Lonchura striata: one gene and its partners. The protein of the gene in region 3 interacts with the protein of the main gene of each other region in a biochemical or structural test. Links are inferred from orthologs where the notes say so. Each region holds a gene or a part of one and is shown on either strand. Other genes may lie near its edges.

Region 1 (10,341 bases), on a different chromosome or scaffold from region 3:
GAACACCAAGCCCAGAAGATCAAGTGAAGAGTGAACACTAAACTACTATTTTTTGTTTGTACCTCCTTTTTTTTTCCCACCAGCTTCTATGTCCCTAAGCCACCTCATCCATCCCCCTGCTCTGCAGAAGGGACAGACTTCATGGCTCGAGCACTACTGAGTTTGCTGCAGACACTCTCCTCCTGCACAGACAGTGCAGCTGAGCTCTGGACTGCTGGGGAGGTGAGTAAAGATCAATACTCAGCAGCCATGTGGTACAAACTGCTACAGCCACTGCACTTTGTGCAAACCTTGGTTGGGCGTCACCTCTGCCCCTCTGGGGACAGCCTGGCCACTGCTGCTCTCTGTGGGGACAGGGATGGCCACAGACTGCATCTGTCCCTCCTCAGTGCATGTGCCCAAGGAGCAATTTCACACGTGTGTTACAAAGTGCTGGCTCAACCCCCATTTGCATGTGCCACTAACATTCCAAAAACTGGTGGGTATTGAGGGGTGGGGTCAGCAAAGGTGAGGGCTGTGTCTGGGGCAAAATCTCCCAGGCTGTGTCCATACAGTGCCCTTGTCACCCTCCAGTGCACACCAGAGGAGCATGGGCAGTCTGCTGCTACCTGCAGTGTCACCTCTGTGCTAGGGAAGGGAAAACACAGGGCTAGATTAGCAAACATGACCCCCCCTTAATGAGTCACCTCAGTCCAGACTTTTGGGGTCAGAAAACCCATCACAGGTTAATGAATAAACCCATGTTTGTCCTCTTTCCTGAGCTACAAGTCCACTGGAGCCTTGAATCCAACATGTGGGATGGCACCTGGGTACCACAAACTGCTTTATTCAAAGTGCTGCTCCAGCAGAGCAGTGCACTGAGCACAGCCAACACACAGCCAGATTCACAGGGCTGAAGGTCTCCTGTGGCATCTTGCATTTTACACCTACTCCATCCCAACCACCTAAATCAGCCCACTCCTGATGACCTAGGATCTCCTTTATTCCGCCGTGATTCACACAATGGAAAATGTAAACCTTAGGGCTGCTTGAGCTATTCTTGCCCAGACCATTTCCTGCTGAAGCCAGGGGAATTTCTGCCTTGCAGGGTTAAAGACCTGCTGACCTCATCCCACGGGGCCAACACACCATCAGCACTTTCACAGAGCTCCTGCTATTTCATCCCTCTGAAAGGGACTTTGCAACTCTGTGGTCAGCACAAGTAACTCCATTTTCTGCCCGGTGGATGGAAACCACTGCCTGTGCTGCAACTCCCTACCTTTGGAAACCACGGGGTGTGCACTTGTTTAGTATCCCAGGGCTTTCATCTAAGGTTGTGCCACTTCTTTCCCTGTGCAGCTACGCAGCTAAATTCAAGAAGACACACGCTGCCATTAAACAAGGCTGGAGAAAAGCCCCGCACGGCGTCACCTTGTTTAACCAGAGCCAAAGGCTGACATGGGCACATCCCTGGTGAGGATTTACAGGCAGAACAGGCAGAGCTGTGCTCAGCAGGAGGCTGGCTTGCCCGCAGCTGCCTGCCATGCCTGGGGAAGCTGCAGCTCCTGCAGCCGCAGCGCTGCCGCCGCAGCAGGGCTGCAGGGCAGCCTCTCCTCCCTCGGCAAGGCAGGGCTGCCAGGCACAGCCTTTGAAATAATAATCAGCCACTGATACAAAGCTAGCTCGTGCAAGATGCTGTCTGCTTTCTGCCATCCTTTTTTTTTTTTTGTCAGAGTATTTATTTTAAATAACTGAAGAGGGCACTTTCAGCCTGATTGTGACTAAAGGATCTCTGACATGAACGGGGTTTGCCTTGCTGGGAGGCTTGGCAATTATTCAGGTAATACAGAGCTGGCAATATCTCTTTATGTTTAGCAGGGAAAATGAGCAGGGAAGTAGGAAAGCAAAGTTGCAGGGATGCTGGAGAGAAGCCATGCAAAATATTAATACTCAAACAGCAGTGAGATCCTGAACAAAGAGCAAATAATGGTAAAAAAAAAAATATCCAAACATACCAACACTGGTTATCTTTTGGGAGACAAGGTCTTGTAGTAAAGCCTCAATTGCAGGATTATGCCTGGAATACAGCTCATACCGATTAATGCCAATGTGGAATTTTAACCAGTTTGGGTAGGAGTCTATGGAGGTTTCTCCAGTTGGCAAAAATTCTTCATGATGATCTTCATTTTGCCTACCACCAAAAACAATACAACAAAAACCCAAAGTTGAGGAGAAAGAAATAATGTTACAGTTTGTAGCACACATCAAGAAATAGGGCTTCAAAATGTGACAACTTGGAGAGGCAAGGCGCTACAGAAGGGAGAGAGGTCCCAGGTTCCTCCCTGCACCAGGAGCCTTGTCTCACTTGGGGCCAGGGGGAGATGGATTCCCACTTCCCCTCATCCTGCCTGACTTATCACCCATGAAAGTCAGGAGCAAAACTCAGAGGGGCATCACTGAGCGTTGGCACAGGCCCTTCTATAGCACAAACACAGAGCTCAAGTTTTAACTTGTGTTTAGGTCCCATTATGCTGCACACAGCTTCTGCAAGTCTGGTTCAAATAACAGCATTGTCCTGAACCTTTATTTAACAGGGACATGAGGCAGGAAACCAAGAGTGCAGCAGAACCTGAGCTGTGGTGCCCAGTCCCTCCTCCTCCTTAAAGAGGGAGAATGAGAGAAACTGCATCACTCTGAAGTGGCAGTCAGAGGAATTGGCTGGTCGTACCCCTTCCCGAGCAGTAGGAACCTACCACAGCAAAGAATTATTTAAAATGATCACTACCTTCTGAATTTCACTTTAGTTCTGTGAACCTTGGCTGCAGCCACTAAGGAAAATATGTACAACAGGCAGCTGCACTGTGAATATCAGTGTTGATTTCACTCTTCGCCTACTGAACAGACTAACCCATATCTTTGATCCAGAGTTCTCTGTGTTTACAGTCATCTCCAGATGTTCAGGCATTTGTGACTTTTTTTATTTTTCCTTCTTCTTTCAGAGAGCCCAAAACTTTCCAGGTTATTTCCCTTCACAGTCAGTTAGGATTATTAGATGGAACGGGCCTGGACAATTCACATGCTCATAGGGTGGAAATCAGAATTATTTATCCTCTCTTTCTAAAGGTTTAGATCATGCTGGCTGCTCTGCAGCTTGACAGAGCTTTTGCACGGTACAATGCAGCTGTTTAAACATTACAATGTCACTGTGTTTGGAAGAGGGTGCTGTTGTATTAGACAACCCTTTTGATTTTTCAGTCATTGAATTTCTCAGCATTTCTTAGGAGCCAACAGGGCATACGATTCACAGAGGCAACTGACTGCTTTGAAGGCTGGAGAGCAGCGGAGGTGCAGGGCACTGGGAATTAATTGAGGATGAAAAATGTAGCACAGATCAGATCCTGAAAGCGGAAATACCTGCCAGGATGAATGCCTTTGTGGCACTAGAGCCTGCTTTTGAGAAGGGTTAATGTATTACTGTCTGGCCTCACTGCTCAGCCCCTTCAGCTCTGGGAAGGTGCTGGAGAGGAAGGCTCGCTGTGAGCTCACCCTCTTCCTCACACCGTTCTGGCAGCATCAGCCTCGGCTGCAGCTGGAGATGGGGCAGACCGACCCCTTGGCCTCAGCGCTCCAGCCTTCCCCTACTCCCGTGTTTATTCTGCATTTCGGGGCATTCATTTCCCGAAGGAACACGGCCGGGCGAGCCTGCGAACGGTTGCTCTTTTTCCCGGTGACCCCGAAACGCTCCGTTCAACCTTCCACCCCAAAGCCCTCGTTCCCCTCCGAAGGGCAGCGACCCGGGGGACGCGCCACATCCCCACCACCCCCCCGTCCCACTCACCACTCGGGCTGCTCGGCCGCCCGCGGGTTGAACCTGATGTCGCTGTTGACATTGAAGAGGAGGTCGCGGTCGGCCAGCGGGGGCAGGGCGGCGCGGTACAGCGGGTGCTGGAAGAGCGCGGCCAGCGGGGCGGCGTTGCCGGCGGGGGGCGGCGGGCGCGGCGCCCCGGGGCCGATCAAGCGCCGCGCCCGCCCCGCCGCCGCCGCCGCGCCCCCGCCGCCCGCTCCGCCGCCCGCTCCGCCGCCCGCCGCCCGCTCCGCCGCCTCCCGCGACTGCGACGAGAGGTTGGAGGCCGGCTCGGCGCTGAAGTCCTGCAGGATCCGCAGCGTGTGCTTGCCGGGCCAGCGCGGCGCGGCGGCGCGGGGCGGCGCGGCGGCGGGCGGCGGGCAGGAGCAGCCCGGCCGGCCCTCGGGGCCGCGGCGCTCCAGGCGCGGCAGCAGGTCGATCATGATGTGCATGGTGCAGGCGACGAGGAACACCATCAGGATCAGCACCCGGAACTTGCGGACCAGGAGCATTTTCATGGCCGGGGCGGCTGATGAATTAGCGGGGGAGGGGGAGGGAGGGGAGGCGGCGGACAGAGCCCGGGCGGGCGCGGGGCTGCCGGGCCCCCCCCGGGACTCCGGCGTGCTCCTCTCGGGTCGGCAAGCGAGCGATCAAGTCAATAAAGTTACCTCCATAGGCGCCGGGAAATAAACAGGCTAAACCCGATAGGTCCTCATGTCTCAGTATCATCAAGAACTTGGGAGGGGAGAGGGAAAAAAAAATAAAAGGGAAAAAAAAAATTAAAAAAAAAAAAAAAAGAGCTCCGGACCGAGCCTTTAAAATCAACAGGAAAACAATGCCAGCGGCATGGTAATATAGAAAGCCATCTGTTCACGATTTCTCCCTCTTTTTATTACAGGGATCACGACAAACAGGGAAAACTGGCTCTCGGAGAGAAACCGGCATCAGACACAGGCGCTGATTAAATAAAATGTAAAAAAAAAATATGGGGAGGAGGAAGGGGAAAATAAAAAATATTAAGAAAACCTGTACGGAAAGGCGACAGAAGAAAAAAAATCATCCATAATATTTGGTTGTGCTGGAAACGCTGACTCCTTTCCCTTGGATTTGAGCAGTGATGCAGCAGAAGCGCTCCCCGCTCGCTCTTGCTCCCTCTCTTCTCTCAGACTCTTTAAGAACATTGGCTGGAAAATCATTTTCTTAGAGCAGTTCCAGTTTCTTCATCCATCACGTCCAGTGCTTGGGAGAGATTAGTAAGTTCAACTGAGATCGAGTCTGGGTGGCTGCTGTATCCGAGCTGGGCTTGTGCTTTGGCTTGTGTTGGTTTTTTTTGGCTGCAAAACTGTCTGATGGCACAACTGCAACATAAAGGTTAAATATGGTACAGAAAAAAAAAAAAAAAAGGAGGGGGGAGAAGGAAGGATTAGAGGAAAGAAACTAATATAAATCAGTAGAGGTTCTTTTTAGCGAAGAGGTCTTTGATCTCTGCTGGGTCTTACAGATCTTTCTTTTAAAGAGAGCGAGAATGGAAGAGAGAAGGGGGGAGAGAAGGAAAAGGGGGGAGAGATCTTTGGCAGGTGCAGAGTGAAAACCTCTTTCAGCTACACTGAATTCTGGAGACTGGTTGGACTAGTAGCTCTGCAGCTCCAGCTTTCAGTGGGTGTGTTAAATATTATGAGCGAGCCATGATTCCTGCCTTCCTCACGTCATAGTTAGGAGATTGGCTAAATAAACGCTACAGTGATAGTAACAGGAAAACCTCAACCAAAAGAGGGTTTTTTTCCCTCCTCTCCTCCCTCCTTCCCACCCCCGCCCCCCCCTTCTTTTCATTCTACTGCAGCTCCAACTGGGGCAAGGAGAGGGCGTCTGTTCCACAAAGGTTTGGGGAAAAAAAATATATATATATATAAAGGGGGAAAAAAAGCGAAGCGGCAGAGGAGAGAGGGATCTGCGCTGGCGGCGGTGCCGGGCTGGGATCGGCGCTGCCGCTCCGGCACCGCCCGGGCTGGCGAGCGCGCATCGCCCGCTGAGCTCGCCCCGCGCCCGGCAGGCTCAGCCCGCTTCCCCCGGAGCAGCCGGCCTGTCTAACCCGAGATCCAGCCCCGCAGCTGCTGCCCGCTTCCCTGGCTGGTGGCCCAGTGGGCTAATGGAAGTGGCCATAGGGCTAGCACAGCCCGGAGAGTGCTGCTGGCAGCTAAGAGCGAGGGCACTCTGGAGGGAGGAACAAGCTGTTCCTGGTTCTTCAGGTGATCATGTCTGATTTCTGGGGAGCTCAGATGTCTGTCTTTGGACAGTGTTTCCCTGGATTCTGTGGTCCATAGTAGGTTGTTGAGTTGGGCTGTAGGAGGACTGAGAAAGATGGAGTGCTTACCCCAACCCACCACCACCTTTCCACAGAATCATCTCCCTTCTGAATATGGCAGTCCATTTTTCCCTGCATTAAACCACATCAAAGTATTTCCTCCACTCAAAAAGTCTTTCCTCACCCACCAGGCTCCATCCAGCACTGTTCCCTTACTGGCACTTCTGCAGATCCCAGTGCTTTGCACTCCTCTGAAGCACATCTGTGCAGTGTTACATTGTCACCAGGTTTTGCACAAGGGAAATCACTGACTTTCCAGCAGGAAAAAAACATTGATATACAAAAAAAAAAAAAAAAAAAAAAAAAAAAAAAAAAAAAAAAGAAGACCTAATAGTGCCATGATCCTATGGACTACTCTGCACCTTTGTGGAGAGACAAAATTTGTTGTCCTAGGGAGTAGGGAGACTTTGTAGTCCCAGGGTCCAGAGATACACCCTGATCCTTCAAGTACAGGTGCACTTAGTCACAGAAAAACATTTTGCTGCAGAGCCAGAAGCCAGGCTTTCTGTCTTTTCCCACTTTTTTTCACCAAGATCAGCTTGGACAAAGACTTTCTGGACAGCTGGCTTTGTGGCTGATGGAGGAGGGCAGCAGAAGCCAGCCAGGGGTGAGTGCAGGGTATGTGGTTCCCTGTGTATCACTTAAATTACACTTTACTGTGGCTTTTTAAGGAGTTCTGGTCGGAGCTGTTTGTAGCACTTCAAGTGGGGATAGATAATATAACACTTTATCTCCTTTAGCAAGGAACAGTACAATTTGTAGGTTGCACATTTTAGCTGCATTTTCTTAGTGTTGGCCCTACTAAAACTTAGGCCTATGGTGTTACATGAGGGTGAAACTGAACAGGTCTGCTGAGAAAGTTGAAAATTACTTAAATGAGTTCTTTAAGTTAAAGTTGTTTGAATTTACTTTACAGTAAAAGAACATTATGTCAAACGTTGTAACTCCATGTGTAAGAGCTGTACAATGAAAGGGAGACTGGCTTTGTAATATAATGCAAGCAACTAGATGTAGTTAATTAAAGGACTTTCAAGAGGTGAAAATGACAATACTCTGAACAAAAACTAATTCCTCTAGATGACATGTTTTTGTTTTTATCAGTGTGACCTTTAGTGTATGTTGGCTATTTAGTTAAATATGGTTTCATCTAAATTGTGTCTGCCTGTAAACTGAATCTCCCTGTTTTCTACAAGCTGTTTATTCCTTGAGTCTTTTCAACATTTGAATTTTATCTCAGGATGTGAGATTGGTAGATGTACTGTACTTTCTTCTGTAACTGGCCTTTGTGGACAAGTTTTGGCCAGACCAAAGTGCCCTCAGAAATGTGAATAAAAGATGAAAAGAGATCTGTCTTATGTCTCTGCATTTCTCAACCTCAGTATCTACAAATGCCTTTGGCCACTGGTTGGTCATCTGTGAAGTAAGATGCACTGGCCAGTTGGTGGACTCTGGCACAGAGTGAGCTTGTAGCTTTGCTTTGGACAATGGGAAATGCATAATTCCTTGTTTCCTGAGCCTTTCTTCCCCTGGCCCGAAGGCTGGTAATGATCAGCGCCAGCAGTGTGTTACAGCACCTCTGTGCCTCTAAGCTGAGATTGGTGAAGCCAAGGGAATGAAGGCAGAGCTCAGCTGGCTCTCCCCAAAGCCCTGTGGGTTCCCCCTGCAGCCCATCCCACCAGGAGGATGTCAGCCCACCTCTTTTCTTACACACCTTTCCCAGGAGCAGCTGCAAGAACACAGCCCTGCTCTTGTCCCGGAGTCACTGTGCCCTCTCACCTCCCTAAATCATGTTTGGGAACACAAAATTGCTGCCAGTCTCACACTGGCATTCCTGCTGGTGGCCCCGTGGGGCTGGCAGAGAGCCTGGTGCTCTGGCCAGGGAGGTGGGAACGGAAGGAGCTGCTGCGTTGGGAGGGCTCAGGTGGCTTGTGAGGAAGCCTCAGATTGTTGGTGTGTGAAACCACTGGGAGAAGCCAGGAGCTGGGCTGCAGGTCAGGATAGCCTGGAAATTGGGTGGCGGGTGGCAGGCAGACTCAGGGACCAGGTCTGAGGTATTCCAGGGCTAGTGCAGCTCCCCAGGACAACCTCATTGCTAGCCCATGGCAAGTGTGGGCTTGGTGCCAGAGAGTTTGTGCTTGTGCTGGGATCTGGGGCTTGTGTGATCCAGCCCTGCTAGGGAAGGGTTCCCTTTTTCTGCTGCAAGGGAAGAAATGGGGATTTCTGTCCAGCCAGCTCAGCCCTACATTCCTGTCCATGTACTGTGAGGCCCTGGCCCCTTCCCTTCCAGTGCAATGTTTGCATGCAAGTTACCTCCTCTGGCTTCAAATATTTGCCTTCAAGTCTTGATAAAACCCCCAAAATTTTTGGTGACTGCTGATTATTGTTCAAACAGGCTTTTAAGTACCAAACTCGTGTGCATAGAGCCACAGGGTCTTTGCAATCATGCCTGATCTGGCCAACTCTTAGTTAGAAGATAGCTGTTTATTTAATTTTGCAAGTTAACTTGGTCATAGTAAGGAATATTTAAATATTTCTCCTTAACTAAACTCTACACCTTCATGTGGAATTCCAATATGTGGCAAAGAACTTTCTATTTCTGCTGTGCTGTGTGTTGGACCAGTATTACCCCTGTAATTGCTGGCATTATGTAAACAAGAAAATAATAAGTTCCTAATGGAATATTATTACATCAATAAGTCATTGCATACAGCTCATTTCAATAATATAAATGAAATCAAGTCATTTACATCAACTCTTTATTTTATTTTTGGTCATTGAATTGAAATCTTTCCTCTCTTTTATTGAAGTACTTGAATGTTATTGGGAATTTCACTTTGAATTGCTGCAATCACAAGCCAGGATTGCTTCGGATCTAACAGGCTTCTTAATTTGGTATTACAAATTGGCATTCAGCACTTCTTTGCATGTTCTACCTTTGCTTTTATTGAATAATACAGTCAAGAATTCAGGAGGGCTTACTGTCGTATGTCCTGGCATTTCTTCATTGTTTTGTGCAAGAATTAATACCTTATCTGCTGCTGAAATCTGTGTAGATATTTATTTTCCCCATTTTTGTCTGCCTACCTGGCTGAGCAGCAACAATGGTCAGTGTACGTGATAGTGTATTCAGGTAAATAAATGAAGCATGGTTTTGGGTGAGTAAACATACCCAGCTATTATTTTCTGCTATAACAGTTTACAGCCTTCTGATGTAAAGCCTGAATGCAGCAGGGCAAGCTGTAAGTCAGGCCTGATTGCACACTTTGAATCAGTGTAATATTTTTATTGTTACTTCTAATGGCAAAATGGATTTTCTTTTAGCTGAGAGCCTCTGTCTATGATGCTGCAAGTCCTGGGGGCATCACATGCCTTACCTGGCCCCTGTGGCCTTCCTGCCCAGGTCTTCCTGCTCTCCCTCTCCTTCCTCCCTCAGAAGATTCATGTGCTGACCTAATTTATTGGTGCTTTGCCTTATAAACACAGATTACACTGGCACTCTGATGGGTACTGCATATTAACCTCCCACACTGCCAAAATCACTTTTATTGCTAAGGAATACACTTGGTACTGAACGGGAGGTGATTCCATAAGCTTGATTTCCCTGTCAGCTTTTTCTGTGTATGAAGAATCAGCAACACACATTTCAAGTGGTGTGTTGATATTTTTTCAACAATGCATACTAATCCCTTTTGGATTCCCTGCCTTCTGGACCAGGGTTTTGTTACATATTTGGTTGTTTTGGGTTTTTTTTAATGAATCTTGAGCAAACCTCCACTCTCAAATCACAGAGGCTGTGTAGTCACCTGCTCCTTCCCATGGTGGCTTTGCCAAGGTTGCCTGAAGGGGCACTGAGCTGCAAGCTGGAGCTCAATAGAGCTGAAAGGAGAGACTGGTCCTGTCAGATCATCAGGGCAAGGGGGGCTCTGTGTGAAATGCATCACCAGCCTCAACTGATTTCAGAAAGCCAAAGCTTCCAGCTCCAGCCTTTTGCTTATGAATGCTACCATTCTTTAATTTGGGATACAATATTCTGGATGAATTAAACCCCCAGGGATTTCTGGATCAACCTGCTGAAAGCACTGAGCTGGTTGTTCTAACAGGAGGTTTTTTCCCTGCCTGTTTGTTACTCCTCAGCTGTTGCTGCTGCAGAGCAAGG
Region 2 (10,517 bases), on a different chromosome or scaffold from region 3:
CATATCTCAGTGATTTGTATTGGTCTGTAGATTTCACAGTACAGTTTTTATATATTTTCAAGCTATTTTCAGCTCTTAGGAAACTTTTTGCATTGTATGGCACGCCTTTTTAAAAATGGTACAAGTGATTTTCAATTAATTGACTTTCAGCATTCAATTTCAACTTCAATTCAATCTGAACTAAATCAGTAGCATTCCCAAAGTCAAAGTGAATGATCTGAACTGCCATCCAGTTGCTTGGTTTCTGCCATAACCCTGCGTAGTATCCTTACTCCGTGCAGCTGTGGTTCCATATTACATCTATGCAGGCTTGTGTTCTGAATCCCACAGTAGCAATGTTTTAACTTGCTAATTGTTGGTATCACAGGTGATCTTTGTTGTTATCTGTGGAAAAGGCTTGAAGTTCTTACAACTGCAAGAAACAGAATTCTGGTAGCTAAGGCGTTTGTTTTCAAGAAAAGCTTTGTTCAGTGAAACTACTTAGATCACAGCTGAGCTGCCTTGTTAGAATTCCTGCCTGGGAAGCACAGTAAAGAACTGTTGAGACCTTATTTCTGAGGTACCTGCTAAGATGCCCCAAAACAAGACAACATAAGGGGTATTTTTGTTTGTTTTGGGTTTTTTTTTTTGTCTGGGAGGACAGCTGGCCTAACTGATATCTTGGAAGAAGTCCTACGTACCTGAAACCAGCAGGTAGTTTAAACTTAAAAATGTCTTTTTAATACTTTCTTTGCCTGGAAGACTGACATGAGGAGTCTCTATTTAAAAAAGCACCTGCATGGCTTAATCAAGTTCAACTCATATATTCATCTGTACAAGTAGGTTCTAGCCATACACAGCAAGTGTTTATACTGCAAAATGCTGTAGATAGTCTCTCTAAAGTGGTTTTACATTAGATGTCACATCCTGTCTTCCACTGATTTCTGTTGCCCCTGTTCAGGCTATCTTAGCTTATAGCGCTGCAGCATTTCCCCCACCTCTTCCTGTCCATCCACTGATAGCTGCTGTCCCACTATGCATGGAAAACTGGTAACAGATGTTGCCATACATTTATTTTCAGTTTTGGGAAAGGTACAACTTAGGCCAGTCAACTGGAATGAAAAGCCGTCAAATTGAAATAATTTGACTGTTTGAAAAGTATGCTTACAAGGCTCCAAGCAGAAACCGGCAAGCAGTGTGCATCTGGTAGGCCTCTCAAAAATACTAGACCAATAAGTCAAAGACCTAGATGTGATGTTCTGACATTTTGATTCTACACTTTCAAATACATTAGGATAGAACACTATATTATACCTTAAATTTGTCTCTTTTTGCTGAAGCATCGTCAACAGGAACACTTAAAATCCCACATATTAACCTATTATTACTAACAGCCTAAGCAGTAATAATGTAAGCATTATCTTACCTATGTGGAATAAGACCTAAAAAAGAGCTGTCACTTATCAAATGTGAACAAAAAGGCATGTCAGCCCTTTCCCTGGAAAGCTTCAGCTTTCTTGAAACAACTGAAAGTTAGCATCTTTACCTACGCTATGAATTATTTCAAAAGCAGGAAGGCAATAGTTCAGTTAGTTAACTATCATGGTACTTCATTTATTAAATTGGGATTTATTAAATAATAATATTTAATAGTATTTAATGACAATGCCATTGATGTTGAAAACAGGAAATGCCCTTTTTGAAACAGGTGCAGAGTAGTGCCTACCTTTTTGCTTTTTCTCTTCTGTAGTCTTGATGATTTTCTTTCCAGACCAGTCTGGGTTTGTGTTTCCTGTGTCTCTGCTCTGATCTCTCTGTCCTACTTGTAGCACCACTTGAGGGGGTGGAGCGTGCTGATGGAGCTGGGCCATGGGGCGTGCTGTCCGCATCCCACCCCTTCCCGAGCATCTAGGGGATGGTCCAAGCAGGCGGCTGGCATCCGGATTGTTGGGGAGGGAGCCCTGTGCAGGACGGGAGGAAAGCTACTTGCTGGAATGCTGCTGGATTTTACAGCCAGTTTGTTTTGTTCTTTCTCTTTTCCAGTCAGAGAGCAGATTTAGTTCTCAAAACAATCTCTTCCCCATTGAATACCTTATTGTTCAATGACAAAATAGTATGTATCCCTTACAACGAACTGTCCTGTCCCATTATACTTCTAGGAGTATGAATGAATGCACAGCTGTATTATTTATAATATAATCAGAAGTCTGCTGTATGTAGACTTAGTCCTAATAACAAGAAACTCCTGTTTCACACACAAGTGTAGTGTGCTGTGTTCCTAATGAAAATGTTTGGCAGATGTGAGAACCACAGCCTTGCTCTGGGGTCTCATATGGTGGTGAAATTCCTCCTCCAACCCGTGCTTCCAAAGAAAAACTCCACAGGCTTTAGCTGTTCAGTCTCAAGGCAGTTTATTGCTAGTTATCTAACAGATTATGTTCTTGGACTGCGGCTATTTGATCAGCGGCCTGGGTAGAGGCACACACACACCCTGACATCCTCTCTATCTGCTGTCTTCTTCGTCTCTCTCCCCGCCCAGGGCTGCTGCTATCTTTTATATGATATATTACGTATTACATGTTTATAGTTTTCCCCCAATACCTACTACCTATATTACAAAGTGCTTTTCTACTGTAAACCAATCTGTGACTGCCAACATGACCAAGAACATGGAGGCAAGGAAAAAGAAGGAGGAAGAACAGGATCAGCCCACTTTCCTCCATCTTAGAACTTCTGACCCCCATGTACAAAGTGAAAACCCCCCTGTATATGTGCTAAAACCCCCCTTTACAATACTAAAAAAAAATTCCCCTCTACTTTGTAATTACTTTTACTATACTATCTAACCTTTTGTGACTGCTTGTTCCACCTCCAAAGCTGGCAACTCACCCCATGGCCCCAACTCAAAGTTACAGCTGTTTTTCAGCTGTCTGCCAGGGTCTAGAATGCCTCTGACTAAGGCTTGGAACCTCTAAAAATGTTTGAGAGACATTTTGAGTTCCCACAGGCAGAGAGGCCTTGACCCAATTGTGGAGCAAAGCATGCCCTGAACAGAGCCACAGGAGAAGAAACAGGGGAGTTTTCAAGTTAAATGAGCAAAACTTCTTAGAACTTTAGATACAAATAAGGAACAGCATGTTGAGGGCCAGAGTTAAATGTTCACTGATATTACTCACCCTAGAAAATGAAGATCTACTTACCAGAATGTGGTCATGAGTATTCAGTTATCAAAGCGTGGCAGACAAATGTGATTAACTTAGGGCACTGTTATGAAAACAGTCATTGCTGCAATTGTTACAGTGATGAATGTGTCGTACCTGCTTGGAACTGATACACTAGCAATCAAGCTCCTGACAGAATCTAGTATAAGATGTAAGAACCAGTATGTGGAGTGAGTGACTTCTATTTTAAGAAGCAGGTGCATAGAGACCTCGTTTGGAAAACACAGCACTGGTTATTTTGCATAATGGTAAAGATGAAACACCCGTACTCTATCTGTGTGGAGATCTATGTCAAGATTATAAAATTTATTTCTCCAAGAGTCACAGTGCTAGTGATAACATTACTGCCATAAATCTGATGTGTAGCTGCATTTGACTGTTTCTGGAAGGGACTTCCAGTTGTTGAGATTGAACACTGCTGAGAGAGCAGGGGCTAATTTATTTTATTTTTTAAGATACTAGCCATTTGATTTCTAGATTAAGGATGCTAACAAACTGATGGCCATGGGGGAAGATTTCAGAAATTACTTCCTGGCTTTTCAGAGCTTAAGGACAACTATAATTGTCTACAGACTGTGGTGCCATTGTAGGGCTTAACATATTTTAGGAAAGCCAGCAATAAAGTGTCTGCTCTCTCAAGCACCACCTACTGGATTTTCTCTACGTTGATCCTTGGGATAATTTCAGCAGGACTATTTAATGGCAGTGACGAAGTGTGACAGCATGACATCCCACAGTAGGCCCATGTCACCTCGGCGGGACCCTCTCTGGCCGGTGGCTTTGGCAGGTCCAGCGCAGGCGACTGGAGTTGTGGCAGATCTTGGAGAGCAGTTTCCACCCCCGTACTGTTGTGCATCTTTGCAGTGGTATTAAAGCAACTCACGCCAGCCAGCCCAGAAGGAAGAAATAGCCAAACCCGATGTAAAGCCAGAATAGCGCTTTGGCTCGGGCGGTGCGGTGGGAAAAGCAAATGGTGCGTTCCGGATTGGCAGATCTTGGAGATGCTGCGGGCAGAAGACGGCAACTCTTTAATTTTACTTACACAGTCCACGAGCTGTTCTCGCCTCTCATCCCGAGCCCCTGACTCCACGCGGTATCGCGGCCACGGCGATCGCGACTCCGCCGTTCCTCGCCGGGGCGGCCCCGAGCGGGCCGAGCGCCGGCCCGGCGCGGCCCCTGGAAGGGCGGGCGCTGGCGCCGGAGCCGGAAGCGCAGGTCCCGCGGAGCGGAGCCGGGCCCGCCATGAGCCGCCCGCCCGCGCTGCAGGCGCTGACCTGCGGGCCCTGGGAGATGCGGGAGCGCCTCGGCACCGGCGGTTTCGGCAACGTCATCCGCTGGCACAACAAGGTAGGCGGTAGCCGGGCCCGCGGCGCCCCGGCTCCGGACCCGGTCTCAGCCCACCCTTACTATGTCCACAGGAAACCGGCGAGCAGGTGGCCATCAAGCAGTGCCGGCAGGAGCTGAGCCCGCGCAACCGCGACCGCTGGGCGCTGGAAATACAGATCATGAAGAGGTGAGGCGGGGCGGCGGTGTTCTCGGGCCGAGGCCGGTGCCCGCGTGGGCCGGGCCGGGCGGAGGGGTCGCTGCGCGGTGTCGCGTCGGTGCCCCGGGACGCGTGGCGGAGGCGGCCCTGGAGCGCGGATCTGACGGGTGCGCTGAGGGAAATGGTGGGAGAGGCTTTCGGCCGCTGGCCGCCAAGGGATCCCCTTCCGGGAGGTGCCCGGTCCGCTCGGCGGCAGGTGGGTGGAAGTTCACGCGTAAGAAAACTTCATACGGTGCTGCGTGAGACTCTTGGGTTTCACACTGCCGTCTTCGGCTCGTCTGCTGTGCCCTCAGCGCTACAACAACGCTGCTACCTAGCCGCTGCTTTGCTTGCCTTAACGTCTGTCCCTTGGGGTGTTGGATTAGCATTTTCGGGTGTAGTGGTCTGATTGCAGTTTGGGTCTTTTCTGGACGGTGGCAACAGACTGCCTTGCACTCCTTGCAAGAGTTGTTGCTGTACCTTCTAGACAGATCTGTAATGCATGTGTGTTGAAGAAACACACTGTCTTGCACGTGAAATGCTAGGAGTTTGAATGAGGCTAGATCCGTGAAATATGCAAACCTTCAGAATTCACTCATTTAATTTCTAAAAGGATTTGTGATCACTTTAGGTGATGACCAGGAGCATGTGAAATTGTATAGCAGTTGCAGAACATCATGCCTACTTGCCTAATTTTTGTTCCGCAGACTGAACCATCCCAATGTGGTGGCTGCCCGCGATGTCCCTGAAGGGATGCAGAAGCTCGCACCAAATGACTTGCCACTGTTGGCCATGGAGTACTGCCAAGGGGGAGACCTCCGCAAGGTGAGGTCCCTGGGGTGGTAACCAAGGAATGGGTCAGCTTCTAATCTTATCCTGGGTTTTCTGTTCTCTTAGAACCTTTGCTTTCACATCCTGAGGCTTCCTAATTCTATCATGGCATCACCAGTTGTTGGTGGATTGGTCCTTGATACTATGTTCAGCTTTTGAAGACTTAAGTGCTTTGTGAAACTCTTTTGGTTTTTTGGATGCAAGTGACACTGTGAGGAGTTTGCACATAAATAATGAGGGCAAGTGTAAGGGATGTGCAACAGAATATGAGTATGGCCAAGACCATTGTAGGGTAGGTGCATCTGTAGGCTGTACCCTTCCTTAAAGTGATTAACTCTTGTCTGTTGTAGGAAGAAATAACACATGATAGTTCTAATCCTAAGGCTTTTCTGACCTTTGCTGTAATCTGCCCATAGCTAAAACACAGACTTTAGGCCTCATATTGGAGTTGATATTGGCAGGCACAGGGGAAATGGCAAAGAGGGATGGAACAAACAGAAGGATTAGAATGGGATGACAGTGACTTTTCACCTACTCCTTTATTCTCCCATGCAATTAAGCTAAGGCTGATTTAATTATGAAGCTGTAATTGCTGCTGTCACAGGTCACACCCCATAGAATTTTGTGCTTCTGGAGAATTTAATTGCTGTTGCTGAAATTTCTTGTATCCCTGAGAATTTGCGGGACTGTGGGCTTCACTCAGGATAGAGGAAGGAAAGACTGCATTTTGTGTTGCTTACTTGCAGTACCTGAACCAGCTGGAGAATTGCTGTGGCTTGCGGGAAGAAGCTATTCTTATCTTGTTATCTGACATTGGTAAGTGGTAGCCTTCAGTTGTCTGAGCTATAGAAACCTTTTTAGTCCTGAATCAACTCTCCAAATATACAGCAGTGACCTTAGTGACTCAGTTTTAGACTGACCTTTTATGATCTTGATCATCTACCAAAAGTGTTGGGAGTCTGGGGAGGTCCTTGCCTACTGGAAGCTAGCCAGTGTTACTACAGTTTAAAGGAAGAATGTGGGGGAACATTCAGAGAGAGAACTCAGTTTGTGTCCAGAGTTCTATGATGCTAACTTTACACCTTACACTTAGTGTTTCATGGTATGTTTCATTGTACAAGGTTTGATGTGAAAGCCATAAATAGAACCGAGTCCTTACTGATCTTGTCTAGGTACTGTTACTTATGCTCTTAAAATTTCCTTTATGTGTGTCTCAGCTTCTGCTCTCAGATACCTTCATGAGAACAGGATCATCCACAGAGACTTGAAACCAGAGAACATTGTGCTGCAGCAAGGAGAACAAAGGGTAAGCAGGAAGCAGTTGTCTCTGCCTGCACAGACAAGTAAGCTTATAAGGAGCATGCATGTGCTTCATGCAGTTACATGGTCCCTCTGCAAGAGCACTCAGCCCAGGATAACACCTGTCTCAGGCCACTATGTCAGATGAATAGTATTCTGTGTGCAGCTAAGACATTGTATTAGACATCTGTTAACACCTGACATTTCGACTTTCAGCTATTAAGGAGAGAGCCACACTGTACTGATTGACCTAAGATTGGAAGGAACTAGACACATAACTGCTAAGTGTGCTATGACACCTTCAAATTCATTGTGGCTTAAGGAATCTACAGTAGCCTCCCATTTCTACTTCTGCCTCTTCACTAGCACCTTTCCTGTATAGCTTTGAAGAGCTGAACATTTTCTTTCTGCTGTATGATGTGCTTTTAACAGGATTTCGGTCTAGCACTCTTATTCTCTGTTGTGTGTTTCAGTTAATACACAAAATCATTGACCTTGGTTATGCTAAGGAGTTGGATCAGGGTAGCCTATGCACATCCTTTGTTGGGACTCTGCAGTACTTGGTAAGAAAGGAATTCAGGTATAAGAGCAGCTACTGCTTTCTAGTGGGGTAGAATTAATTGTTATCAAGTTTTGGGCTGGGATTAAGTACTTGCATGGTATGGGGTGTGTTTGTGGTGCTGAAGCAAGTGAAGGTGACTGTTTTTTGCTGACACTGGGTTTTCTGCTAGTTGCTTCTATTATGAATAAGCAGAAGTGCCAGTAACCAGGAATACTGCTCACTCCTAGAGGGAATTAAAGCATGTGAGAGGCAGCATTCAGTAATGTCTTTAATAATTTGTACAAATGTTAATGAGATGTTAAGGGATAGAGAAAGCTTAGAGCTGGGTGGCTTTTTCTCATGTGTGTAAACTGTACCAGGCTCCAGAGCTGCTGGAACAGCAGAAGTATACGGTGACAGTGGATTACTGGAGCTTTGGCACGCTTGCCTTTGAGTGCATTACAGGCTTCCGACCATTCCTACCCAACTGGCAGCCAGTGCAATGGTGAGTGAACTGTGGCTGGGTGATAAGTGGGCATGATGTGACTTTCCTGTAAACAGGAAGTATGGTGTCCCTTGATTCTGAGGATAATATCCCTATGTTCCTTGCCCTTATGGAAACTGACCCCTTTCACAGGAGTTTGACCCACCTGAGCAAGTTCAACATTCCTGATACTTGCTCTATGGGATAAGGGCTGACTCCTGCAAGGCAGATAACAGAAACCAAAGTGGCATCTGTATTATGTCTATCAAGAATAGCTTTAAGAGCCTACTAATTTACAGGATGGGAAAGGCAGGCAATTATTTCACCATTGTGCTTGCTTACATTAGGCATACAAAAGTCCGTCAGAAGAGTGAGCTGGATATTGTTGTTTCAGAGGACTTATCTGGAGAAGTCAAGTTTTCTAGCCGTCTGCCCTGCCCAAACAATCTGAACAGGTAAGTACTAGAAATTGCTGTGCTGAGATAAACTGATTCTTCTGCAAAAGGACCAAGATTATGTTATATGCTCTACTGTGTTAATCTGTGAATAAATTGAGTGCATGACACAGGCAGTACTATTATCACTTATCAGACTTGTATAGTCTTGGTTTCTGCCTTCAAAACACTACATTTGTGATAGAGAGAAGTGGGGGGGAGTTTTGTTAGTCCTCCCACACAGAACAGGCCATATGGTTATTGCAAATGCACTTTTACCTCTTCTGATCTCCTCCTGGTTTTTATTGCTCAGTGTTTTGTCTGGGAGGCTGGAGAAATGGCTGCAACTCATGTTAATGTGGCACCCACGTCAGAGAGGTACAGATCCTATGTATGGACCCAATGGGTGTTTCAAAGCTTTGGATGACATTTTGAACTTGAAGGTAAGCAGTAGGTCCATATTACCCCGAAAAGTTTTCTGGAGAGTAGTTGCCTGTATTCTGTGAGAGGAAAGGCTTGAATCATAGACTTAGGAGGAAGAGTGAGGCAGAAACTCGCAGAACTGTCTCCTGACAGCTAGTGACAGGTGCTTTTCTCTTGCTTCTTTGAGGACAAATACTCGCTGAGCTTATTAGGAGTAGTGAATAGCTTCCGTGAATGCTTAGTTCCATATTCTGATAGAGGATTCTACAGGTGAAGGTATTTAATTGCCATGTGGCCTCTCACTTGATGGAGGACAAGAACTTTGCCATAATGTTAGGAAGTAGCTGCAGAGTGAATTCTTGAGTCTGCTAAGTACTTTGAGAAGTTTTTTGGTGGTCATTGTCCCAGTCCCTTGATCTCTGCTCTAAGATGACCAATGTATCGTCAGCCTTTCTCATGCCATGCTACTCTTGTTGTAGTTGCTTCATGTTTTGAACATGGTTACGGGAACTGTGCACACCTACTCTTTGACAGAGGAAGAGACTTTGCAGAGTGTAAAGGCCAGGATTCAGTCAGATACAGGAATTCCAGAACAGGACCAGGAACTACTGCAGGAAGCAGGACTTGCATTGTTTTCTCAGAAGCTGGTCACTAAACATATAGCTGATAGCAAGGTGAGTCTGGATAGTCCTTTTCTTGCTTTTGAGTGAATCAGAAGACACTTCTCTCACTTTGGGATCACAGGACTTGCATGCTTTTGCCATGGTAACCTCACAGACCTGACAACCATTGTAGCATAGGTACCTATGCAGGTGCATAGGCACCCTGTTGCCTATGGTGTTCTTTGTTTAGCTGAGGAGGGCTGTTTTGTACAGTGTTACCAAGGCTTGCTTTTCCTGAGAAAACCTAGTTGGGTCTTTTGTCTTCTGCAGGTGAATGATACTGCAGCTGCAGACACAGACCTTCTCTTCCTCTTTGATAACAAGAAAGTTTCCTATGAGGCTCAGGTGGCCTTGCGTCCTCATCCAGAAAGTGTTGACTGCATCCGTAAGGACTTTCTCTGACATGAATGTGAAGGGCGGCGGTCTGTATTGAGAGCAGTGTCCATGTTCTGCAGTCTGTGTCATGTACAAAGAGTAGAGGGAGCTCTTACATCAAGAAGCAGTAAAACAGACTGTTATTAATTCAATTTATCAGAATAACTGAAAAAAGGAAGTGTTGGATTTTGGTATATTGGGGGAATTGCACAGGGGTTATCCAGCTCTAGGCTTTACAGGTGGTAACATACCCCTCAAAGGAGCAATGTTTTGGTCTGTTTTGTGATAACACAACTTTCTGGCTTCATGTTGATACATATGTTTCTCTTTTCCCCACCTCCTCTGTTTTCAGTTCAGGATCCAAAGAAGAATCTCCACTTTTTCCAGTTGCGGAAAGTGTGGGGTCAGATCTGGCACACAATCCGAATGCTGAAAGAGGACTGTAACCGGCTTCAGCAGGGGCAGCGAGCAGCCATGTACAGTGGCAGTTTCTCTAAAATACTTATGTCTGTCTTTGTGCTTTGGTGAAAGGGAAGACAGAAATGGGACCTTGTTGGAATGGGGAAGCCCATGATTATAAGCAATTAATGAAAAGCTGAGAGTTAACCCTTTGGCACAACTGCATTTGTCCTCACTGCTATCTCAAGTGTCTACTTTGGATGTAAGAGGAAGCCTGGTGGATTTTTATTTTTAGAGGCTAATCGGACCTTCTTGTCCATGCAGGATGAATCTGTTGCGTTACAATA
Region 3 (10,599 bases):
TGCATTTCTCATTTGTGCATGAGCTGTGCAGCATGCTCATATTCAGCACTGCTCTCTGTTCACAGCACTGCTGACTACGCTGTATTCCGAGTGGGAAGTGAAGAGGACAAGTATCGACTGACTTACGCCTACTTCATCGGGGGTGACGCCGGGGATGCCTTTGATGGATATAATTTTGGGGATGACCCAAGTGATAAATCCTACACCTACCACAATGGCATGAGGTTCAGCACCCATGATAATGACAATGACAACTACGAAGGCAACTGTGCTGAGCAAGATGGATCTGGGTGGTGGATGAATAGATGCCATGCTGGCCACCTCAATGGCAAATATTATATAGGTAAGGTGTCTTCTAAGTGCTTGTAGTCCAGGACACCACATTTCAGTGACAAAGGAAAATGAGTCACATTTATAGACTACAGTTTGCCTTCTAGATTTCCCAAAGCTGGCATAGCGCATTCTTTGCAATAATTGCTAACACCAGTAGTTGGAATTTATGACTGCTCTCCATTCCAAAGTGGGATAATCAGTCCTATTTTTGAGAGAAACAAAGCAGGGGGAGAAAGGTGATGAACAGGGTCTGTTAGGACACCCAGGGATGCCATGGAGGTGTCAGGACCAGAAAATGTATGGGCACAGTAACTATTTTAGAAAGCATCCAACTGTTTTGCTCCAACTGGTGTTTCTTAGGTGGTGTGTACACATCAGAAGATGCTGGTCCATCTGGATTTGACAATGGCATTATCTGGGCAACCTGGCGTGACCGGTGGTACTCCATGAAGAAATCTGCAATGAAAATCATCCCATTCAACAGACTGTCAGTAGATGGACAGCAGCACAACTTAGACAATATCAAACAGGTTCGACCACAGGGCCAAGGAGATATTTAAAATGAACACAGAACATTGTAATAATTTTAAACACTGTGTATGGGCAGCTGAAGTTAAACCCACTGCATCTTAGAGAAGTTGGCTTTGTTTACCATTTTGTCACAGAAGTATTAGTACTTTAATTTTAGTGCACCTTCTACATTACTATATCTTTTAATGGATAGGTAAATGGATAGTCTCATGATCAGGAATAATCCCTTGCCTTTGTATATTTTAAATGCTTCATTTTTAATTCCCAACTAATACAACTATGTATGAACACTATCAATGTGTCATCATAGCCTTATATACTTCTTTCATTAGAAGAACATTAAAATACTCTTTTTTTTTCTGTTTTAGGTTGGAGACGTATAAAGGATGGTTTGAAAAAGACCAGTTGGAACAAGAAAAGCAAATCTTTTTCTTAGACACTGAACTTAGCAAACATTACACGGTTCAGTTTTGACTATAAAGCAACATTGACTGTAAGGCCCAAAACTCTTCCCTGAGCAGTGCATACCTCTGTAGATGGTTGGTTTTTTTGGTTTTTTTTCTGTACACATTCTCAATAAATTTTTGATTATTACAAAAAAAGTCTGAGTTTGTTATCTGTGGTCTATAGCCGGCCAAAAAAAAAAAACGAAACCTTTGATAGTTGGATCAAACCTACTTGACTCAGTCATTCATGAATTTCACACCATCAGTTCCTGCTCTTTGTTTAGAGGCATGTGTTCAACCTATTTCTTCATAAATGTGACTAGTATCCATATGTTTTCAAGTCTTCTAATAAAGTTGTTTGGTGACAAAGATCAAAATACATAGCAACTTGAAATAGCCTATTTTACTGCTGAAGACTATTTTACTTAGCTTACTACAAAGTAATGAATACGTTTTCAGTTGGGATGTGCTAAGTAGTATTAGTGATCAAGAACGGGTATTTTACTCCAGACCATACATATTAAGTTTCTCAAATTTTACAAGGAATAAGTTTCATTTGCTATATGACACATAATCGTACAGTGTACAGCTATTATTCCCAACTACTCTTCTTTTTTTTCACAAATATTTAAAAATTACTTCAACATATTCAGTGCCATTCAACCAAAAAATGTTAAAATTTGCATCAGAAATTGATTGCACATTACTTTCTTTCTCTGGATCTGATAATAATTCCCCATGTGATTCACATAAGCAAATCTGCATCACAGATCATGGCCAGCAAAGTTTGCAATGTTGTCTGAATGTACCTCCTCAAAATCTGATGAGTGCATTTGAGGGGTGTGCTAGCAAACCAAATTAGGTTGGTGGATAAACTGCTCAACAGATGATATATCCAGAGCCAGAAACCATCACTACCTCAAGCTGATGCATTAAGAAGTGAAATAGGAAGTGTGTCCCAGTCTTTATTTTTAGCTGCCTATGAAAGACCAGAGGTTTGCCTGGTATTCTCTAAACAGCAAATTCAAGTGCTTTATTTTAGAGACAGGAGGACATTGCAGTGATAGAAGAGACCTCACAGTCAGTTAGTACTGCCTCAACAGTTTTCCAGTTTTGATGCCCAGATGTCTGGTGAGGCTGGTGCTGAGCATCTTCCTTGGATCTGATAATAAGCTGCCAAGTCCCTTTCATTTTTATTAAGATTTTGATATAGTTGAATTTTTACTCTTGGGCCAAAATCTAAGAGGAAGACAAGATTTCTCAGGAGAGAAGAAGGCATCATTAGCTAGGGTCAGATGAGGTTAACAATGGATTGAGAGATGACCCCTCCACACCACTGAACTGATATATTTGCACAACTCTGTTCACCCATGCAACCAGCCATGATGCACAGCTCACTGCCAGCCTTGACACTCAATTCTTCTCCAAGCAAAGTAGCTTTCCTGAACATTTTGTGCTGTAAGGCCTCTCCTGTGCCTCCATGGAGCTGAAGCAGTATGTGTAGAGAGGCTGGAGGGAAGGATGAAAGGGAAGGGTTGGCAAGCCCAGTCTACTCCTTCTGCAAACAGCCACTTGAGTAGCATTGGTTGAGTCCCTTCCACTTTCTCTTTCCAATTTATGCCACCTATGACATGACTTTAAGTTGATGTTATTTATATATTTGCAACATGGATTTAAAAAATTATTCCTTTTACTTCTGTCACTTTGATATCTGCATTTATACTCTGCTAGATCAGAATTGTTATTGACATTCCTGGTTTAGATTTTGGCTGCAATTTGATGGCAATCTGCTGTAATTACACACATTTCATGGATATGAACTGGCATTTTATGGATTGCTCATAATAACTAAGATTGGTTTATTCTTCCAGTTGGTTTGCTGATGGGTGTCTTTAAGTTTTCACAAATAATTTTAATTTCTGGAGAGGAGCATTTGCTCCAGTGGTCAGAAGGGTCAGAGTCAGTGAATGCAAGAAGCCTGATCTTCCAAAGAAATCCTATGCCAGAGTTAATCAGGGAGTCTGCAGGATCCCAATCCACTGTTGTGTTCTCTGGGCCCTGAAAGAAATCTGTCAATCTGTGCTTCTGGAAAGCTCTGTGCTATGGTATGCAATACCCTATCTATCAGAAAGAAGACAGAAAAGACATGTTTCTTCTAATAGAATAATACTCTCAGTATTATTTTTTGCAAGCAAGTACATTGCAATTGAACTTACTGCCCCAATTTTGTATACTGAGAGCTGAGCATATTTCTCTTTTCTAAATAATTTTTTATCATACGTGACCCTCAGACTGTAGCCTATAGTAAAAGTTATCTGTATTTAGAAAAGTCTGTACCTCTCACTTTATAAAAAGTTTATTAAAGGATTTGGTGGACTTTGTTTCACACCTTGAGCTTGCAGTGACTCTTCCAAAGACCACTGTAGCACAAAACAGAGGAATCTCACTCCAAGGGCAAGGGGGAAAAAAAGTGAATGAGGAAGAGGTAGAGGAAGAAAGAATCAAATAAAGTGGATGTAGAATTTCTGGGATGTTGCATTGGGAAAATGTGGGACAAAGTGCTGGGACGGACAAGTAATGACTTCAAAAGGGTTAGGTAGTCTGAGGAGCATATGAAGAGAAAGTGAAGATGAGAGCTGAGTCTGAAGGAGAATGAAGTCTAAGACAAAGCACCAATAGACAGGTCATGAATGGGCAGGCAGGAGGAGCAGAAGGCACCACGTGGAAGCTGGTGGTAAGGCAGGAGACACAGAGAGTGCTGGGCAAACAAGGTGAGGCACACAAACCACCTCTAAATCCCAGACTCCCCAACTGTTACTGTGGCATTTAGCCAAGAGCAGGGCAGATTTAGTAGTGAACTGCCCTTCTGTCCTTTGATCCTGAATTAAAGTTAAATCCAAAGTTTATCTAGCTCTTGGCCTCCAGCCTTTCAAACAAACACTGGCAGAAGTGACTGAATGATTGCAGCATGAAAGCAGAGGTACAGGCTGAAGGTCAGTCACACAGACTCAGCCCCTGACTGTAAAGCCTGAGAAGCTCTTCCTTCACCCCAGCTTCCCGCAGCAGTTGCCTTTGCACCAAGCAGGAAACCCCTCTTAGCTTACCTAATGTTTATGATCAGATGTCAACTTCTTTCCAGTCCCTCTAGCCTTGGTGGCCAAGTTTTACTTGCACCAGCGTTAAGCTGACTGTGTTTGAGTGTCACCAGAGTGCTGTGCCATCCCTCAGGTCAGAAGTCTGGAACATGCTCTTTGACATGTCCCCTGTTACCCTGGTGACTGGTGCCTGGAACACTATCTAGCAAATTGTTACATCCTATGTTAGCATGGTTGAAAAGGCATAAATTCTTCTGGTTTATGTGCTCTTACTACTATTGTTTTTTAAGGCCTATTAAATTACAAATATAATATTATTATTTATGATCACAAAATCAAGCATCAACAAACTGGGAAAAGTTAGAACCCAAATGACATACACATCTGCAATGTGGATGCTTTAGCTGTTGCATAGACTGTAACACAGATAGCAGGACCGGATGGGGCACAGTGGTCCCTTACTTTTAGCTGATACCCTGCAGAATTTGGTGCTATTCCTGCCCTGATCACCCAGTTCCTGTGGGACCAGAGGCAAGATGCTCATGTGTCTCAGAGCTGGCTGCCAGCTCTTCCCTCTGAGCCATGGTGCTGGCACAGAGAGGCAGCTGCCAGCAATGGGATCTGCACATTGGGTGTGCTCTGAAGACTTCAGATTATCAAAATGGATCCCAAAATTAATAGCTACTTTTTGACTTAACCTTCTCACCTGGTTTCTACAACTGTGAAAAGGAGAAAGTTATGGCCAGGGAATGAATGTAATGCACCATAGGAAAATCCTTCAAGCTTTAAGCAGTCTTCAGAGCATCATCTTACAATGAAAAAGAGTGTACAGCTCTGGGCAGATGTTTGCCTGTGAAGCACCATCCCCATGCTCAGTGTGAGGCAAAAGGGGTTCAGTGGAAGAAATGTCATATGTGATCCTGTGGTAAAGCACAGTCCATGACTGTATGTCCAAGGAGAACCCACAAAGGTTGCACCTGCAATTTTTGTGCTCCTGAGCATGGAGATCACAAGCTTGTGATTTTTCACTAGACTTTTGTGTCTATTGTAGAGTCAAAAATTGAATTTTTTTCCATTTGAGACAGAGATTCTCCATGGACCTCAGTATATTATGTTCAACACCAACATGCAGGCAAAGCAATGACTTCCTTTTTCAAATATCAGCTCTTTGTTTATGCAGTTAAATGCCCATCACACTGAGTATGTGTTTTCCAGCAGGTAAGCACTGCTGGATCCCACTAGTGCTGACATACATCTTGGTTGACTGTCAAATTACAAGAAATAGTTTTAGACAGACTTTTTTTTCCTGGAATTCTTGGTGTTGCCCGCATGTCAGCATTGAACAAACTTATCTGGAGCAAATAACACCAGAAACTTGTGCAAGAGGCCTTAAGTAATCACCAAAGGGGGAGGGGGGCATGTTTGTTTTTTCTACAAACAGAAGGGAACATAATGATTAATCTCAGCTTTTCATTCAGGTTTAAATTGCACCAAAAGAGTGGCAAAGAGCATCCTTTCAGTCAGAGTTCTTGCTCTTCTCCTGAAGATGGTACCTGTGAGGATCCTCTGTGCTCTCCTGTGCCTCAGCATAGCCTGGGTATGAATTTGCTTACTTGATTCTTTTTGTGTCTTTCTATTTTGAATAGTAAGCATTTATTTAATGTTCATTCATGAGATAGATAAATTTTGTCTATCACCTAGCTTGTAAAATTCAGTGCACACACATATGCAGCAGCTTACTGTAACCACTTCATTGATGAAGTTTCATCAGTACTTTTGGAGTATCCGGCCCTCTGTAGTTTTGCTTAACTTGGTTTTGCTGAATCTGCTAGGCTTCAGGAGCAGCAAAGCAAATCCCTTAACATGAATTCAAACATTCATTGGCGATGCTCTAAGTCTTAAACATAACTAGCTGGATGCTAGTGGCTCCAGCCATTCAGAAATTTTCATGTTTATTGGGATGAATTGTGCTTTCCTTTGGACATTATTTCAGCAGGATCTTCTACCTACAAATGACACACAATACCTTTATTATGAAAGACACATTTAAAAACAAGGATTCTTATACCAGCAACATCAGCTTAAACTACAACTAAGTAAGAATCAAATTATTGATAAGGAAGGAGATAAAATTGATTTTCACCTGTGCTAATATAACTTTTATTTTTTTCCCATTGAGGACTCAGTCCATAATCTTATGTTATATTCTTTACAATTTAGTTTGTGACTTTTTTAAAAAAAGAAAATGCTTGTTTTAACAAATGACAGAAATTATAGGAAGAAGTTGGGACAAAACAGAAGCAGTCATATGCCTAAAGGACATTTTTAGATATATGTGCTACTTTTAGGAGGCACTTGGGCCATTAATCAAATAATGAATGAATCAAACTACTGAATTTGAATCTGCTGATTTTAATTAAAACATTCCAGTTCCTCAGAGTAGTTCTGACCCTGGAGATTAGAATTAAGATCACTTTCTCAGCTTCAGAATTAATCACCAATCATAATAAGAAGTAGTCATTAATATTTTCAAGCATTCATTATAATGTTTAAAAAGCACAAAAGGTGCACAGAGGATTCCAGTCAGACCTAATTATATCTTAAACACAGCTTTCTTTAATGAAAAACAAAAATGGAAAAAAAAGTTATGGCTTTTACTAAGTGATAAGGAATCTTTATTGTGTTTCGGCCTGGAATTAGCTTGTATATCACTTTTTCTTCTCAGATTTGAAAACAACCTCAGCGTATTTATTTTTCTTCTTTCCACTAACACAGTGAAATAAATTCATCACTGAAATTGTTTTTTAAATTGTGTTAGTAGCTTTCTTGCACTTTTCGTCAGACAAAACCATGCTACAAGCTTCCAGTTAGCAATTGTGATTAAAATCAGAAACACTAGTGGAAAAACTCATATATCTGTAAGCTACCTTTGTGTAGACTGAACTTGGTAAAGTGACAATAAGAATTTTGCAGTATTGCAGCTAATGGGAATAGTATTTTTTAAGTATTTATTTTAATTTTCCAGTTTCAGGCTAATTTCAAGTTAATTTTATATTTCCACACAGAACAAACTGTTTCTGTGGAATGATATTATCATAAATATATCCTGAGCATCACTAGCTCACTACATAAAAGCATTAATTTTAAGAGATCATATCTTACAAGATGTCATAACTTACAAGAGATCATAACTTACAACTTATTAATATCATATCTTACAAGAAATGTTGGAATGAAATCCTTGCAGTGTCGGGTGTGATGCTTACTGGGTGGCTGTGATTGCCACCCACCAGCCGAGCGTGTGAGGACATCAGCATTGTGTTTCTGCTCCCTCAACAGCTGTTCACTGAGCCCTGGTTTTACTTCTTCCCTTTTTCCTCCTGGCAGGCACAAGATGGAGAGAGCACCTTTGAGCAGATAGGTGCAGGAATCCGTGGTCCCAGGATTGTGGAGCACAAGTCCCCGTCCAGCTGCCAGTCTGAGAAGAGCTGGCCCATCTGCGCGGATGACGACTGGGTGAGCGACTGACACTGGGGGGAAAGGGAGACTCATCCCTGGGGCACCCACGGGCCTCAGCTGGATCAGCAGCTGGATCAGCAGCTGGATCAGCAGCTGGATCAACAGCTGGATCAGCTGGATCACTACATCAGGTGCTACAGGCCAGCATGGGGTTAGGGCTGACGTAACACTTCAGGTCGGGGAAGCCTGCACACATCTCCCGTGGGAAACAAAGGAAGGGCAAAATGAAAACAAAAGAAACAGGGAGAAGTTGGCAGTGGTGCAGAATGAGAAGAGAAAGTAAGTCTGGGAAAAAAAGGATTAAATAAACAAAGGCTTACCCTAGAAAAACATAAGAATTGTTTCTTTTCAGAATTTTGGTATTCCCACTTTTGGAGTTCATAAAAGAAAGGCACCAGAAAGAGAATGGTGACAAAAAGAAAAGAAGTAGCTAGAAATCACATACACTCACTAGTTAATTTTTAGGAAGTCAGATTGCAAGATGCCCAGTAAATGTTTCAGAATAATTTCTTAGATGTCTTTGCATATAAACTACTAATTTCTCTCTTTCTTGCCTCTTGCATCTCAGTCCTTTTCTATGCTCCATTTATTTGATGACTTCTTAGCAAAGAGCTTAAGTCTGTCAGAACATTAAGCTTTTCTGAGGAAAACTTGGCATAAAAACTTGACTCTAACATCCTCCCTCAAACTGGATGACAGACTTTTTACAGCAGATCTTTAGGAAATATACATATATACAGAAAAATCTCACCCATGAGGAACAGAGGAGAGGGGAATCTATAGGTTTACTTGTTCCACACCCCATGGTTATGTCAGGTTTCTGATTATGTGCTTCACAGATTCCATTATACATGATGTTTATTCTTGAGGATTTTAGCACAATTATTCCCATCTTTCAATTCTAGGGTACCAAATGTCCATCAGGATGCAGAATGCAAGGACTGATTGATGAAAAGGACCAGGAGTTTAGTCACAGAATAGACAAAATCAAGAAACTGCTTTCAGATAATCAAAACAACTATAAGAAGTCCAATCAGATAATTGTGGAAACTGTAAATGCACTAAAACCAAACCTGGACAGTGCTCAGGGTGAGTATCTTGTGCTCAGTTTTACTATCCAGTACTGAATTACTATTTTTTTGTAAATAAGCCATACGTAGTGAAAGTAGGGGCTGCACTGGATATTATTATCAGAACAATCATATTAATAGACTCTTAACTAGTTATCAAAGCTTAATTTAATCTGCTCAGTACTATGAGAAATATGTTCTCAATGATGTGTTTAATTACATATTTTCAAATATGATACATATTTAGCAAAGAAAAGCACATGGGCATAGCTGACTGTGAGATATTTTTTTTCAGAGCTTGATGAGACTTATGGTCGCCTGTCAGGAGAACTGAGACGGAGAATTATGACATTAAAGCAGCGAGTTGTCACTCAAGTGAACAGAATTAAAGCTCTGCAGAGCAGCATCCAGGAACAAGTGGTGGAGATGAAGCGCTTAGAGGTAGGTGTCTGCTATGCACTTCCTATTCTTTCCAGGGCTTCGCTACAGAAAGGGGATTGGTCCATTATGGTGAGCAGTGCTCCAGCTGGGAGAAAACATGTTACAACTCTCACAAGACCTGACTTGCTGAGACAAATCCCCAAATTGCTTTCTATCCATCCTGGTTTTCTCTGTAGGACCCAGCGTGAGTTCCGTGAGTTCCTAGTCCCGTCTCTCTTAGGCCACAAGGATGCTCCATCTGCTGATAATTGTTTCTATATGAAGCACTTTTCCTGGAAGGAGTTGCTGAGTAGTTAGAAAAGGGATGGGCTCTGTCCATCCCCAGTGCTGCCACTGCTGCCCACAGCTAGGGCTGGCATTAGAACCTGCGTTCCCAGGCTGCAGCCAGTTCTTCTGATGGAAAGGAAAAGTCATGGCACAAACAGTGGTTTTGCTCAAAGGCTCATTTTGCTTCCTAGAACAGAAATCTACCATTTGGATCATTTGAGAAAGCAATGGTAACCCCAAGATGTCAGACCTCAGCAGGGCCATGAGAGAGTCTTCCCCTCTCTTTGGAGGACCCATTTCTGCCCCAGTCCCCATGGACGCCCCAGTCCCTATGGACCATGTCCAACTCTGCAGCACTCCTTCAAAAACCATGAAGACACCTCTAAACTCCAAAAATAAAGGTAGCAGAGATTGGGAACCTTCTACAATGTTCTTTTCCATGGAACTCACATGCATGGTGCTATTGCACATGTTGTATTTACAATGGAAATAAGGTTATGATGACATCAAAATGGTACTTTGGAAAAGCTCAGCTGTAGGTGGGAGGTACTAGGGCAGCTCTCATCTTTCCCCTGTTCAGTAGAAGATATCCTTGCTTGAGAAAGTTGGGAAAGCTCCCTAACCAAATTACTTCTTTTTGGTTGTGTAGGTGGACATTGATATTAAGATACGAGCTTGCAAAGGAACCTGTGCTAGAAGTTTTGATTACAAGGTGGACAAAGAAAGCTATGACAACATCCAGAAGCAGCTTGCCCAAGCCAACTCCATCAACTTGCACCCAGAGCTTCAAACAACCACCTTGAGCACACTGAAAATGAGGCCACTTAAGGACTCTAATGTTCCTGATCATTTTAAGCATAAGCCTCTGCCAGAAATGCAAGCTCTGAACATAATTAA

Evidence for each region.
Region 1: of the proteins of FGA (region 3) and FAM20C, one has a biochemical effect on the other in vitro, tested with the Homo sapiens proteins (2 studies listed by IntAct). The link is inferred for Lonchura striata from reciprocal best matches to the Homo sapiens genes FGA and FAM20C.
Region 2: the proteins of FGA (region 3) and PLAT form a complex in vitro, tested with the Homo sapiens proteins (2 studies listed by BioGRID). The link is inferred for Lonchura striata from reciprocal best matches to the Homo sapiens genes FGA and PLAT.

Annotation. Positions count from the first base shown.
Region 1 is NC_134618.1:11,867,697-11,878,037, reverse strand, and holds the start of FAM20C (extracellular serine/threonine protein kinase FAM20C), read right to left. Parts: upstream 4,380-10,341; 5' UTR 4,342-4,379; coding exon 3,818-4,341; intron 2,171-3,817; coding exon 1,995-2,170; intron 1-1,994. UniProt on the Homo sapiens protein: Golgi serine/threonine protein kinase that phosphorylates secretory pathway proteins within Ser-x-Glu/pSer motifs and plays a key role in biomineralization of bones and teeth.
Region 2 is NC_134634.1:4,929,745-4,940,261, forward strand, and holds the start of PLAT (tissue-type plasminogen activator), read right to left. Parts: upstream 4,376-10,517; 5' UTR 4,243-4,375; intron 1,941-4,242; exon of another isoform or gene 1,706-1,940; intron 1-1,705. Other genes in the region: IKBKB (inhibitor of nuclear factor kappa-B kinase subunit beta), read left to right, coding at 4,443-4,547, 4,619-4,713, 5,430-5,547, 6,300-6,369, 6,771-6,859, 7,326-7,415, 7,774-7,898, 8,225-8,332 and 5 more. UniProt on the Homo sapiens protein: Converts the abundant, but inactive, zymogen plasminogen to plasmin by hydrolyzing a single Arg-Val bond in plasminogen.
Region 3 is NC_134606.1:42,247,861-42,258,459, forward strand, and holds the start of FGA (fibrinogen alpha chain), read left to right. Parts: upstream 1-5,883; 5' UTR 5,884-5,951; coding exon 5,952-6,002; intron 6,003-7,792; coding exon 7,793-7,921; intron 7,922-8,829; coding exon 8,830-9,013; intron 9,014-9,289; coding exon 9,290-9,435; intron 9,436-10,351; coding exon 10,352-10,599. Other genes in the region: FGG (fibrinogen gamma chain), read left to right, coding at 66-343, 694-863, 1,233-1,247. UniProt on the Homo sapiens protein: Cleaved by the protease thrombin to yield monomers which, together with fibrinogen beta (FGB) and fibrinogen gamma (FGG), polymerize to form an insoluble fibrin matrix. Fibrin has a major function in hemostasis as one of the primary components of blood clots.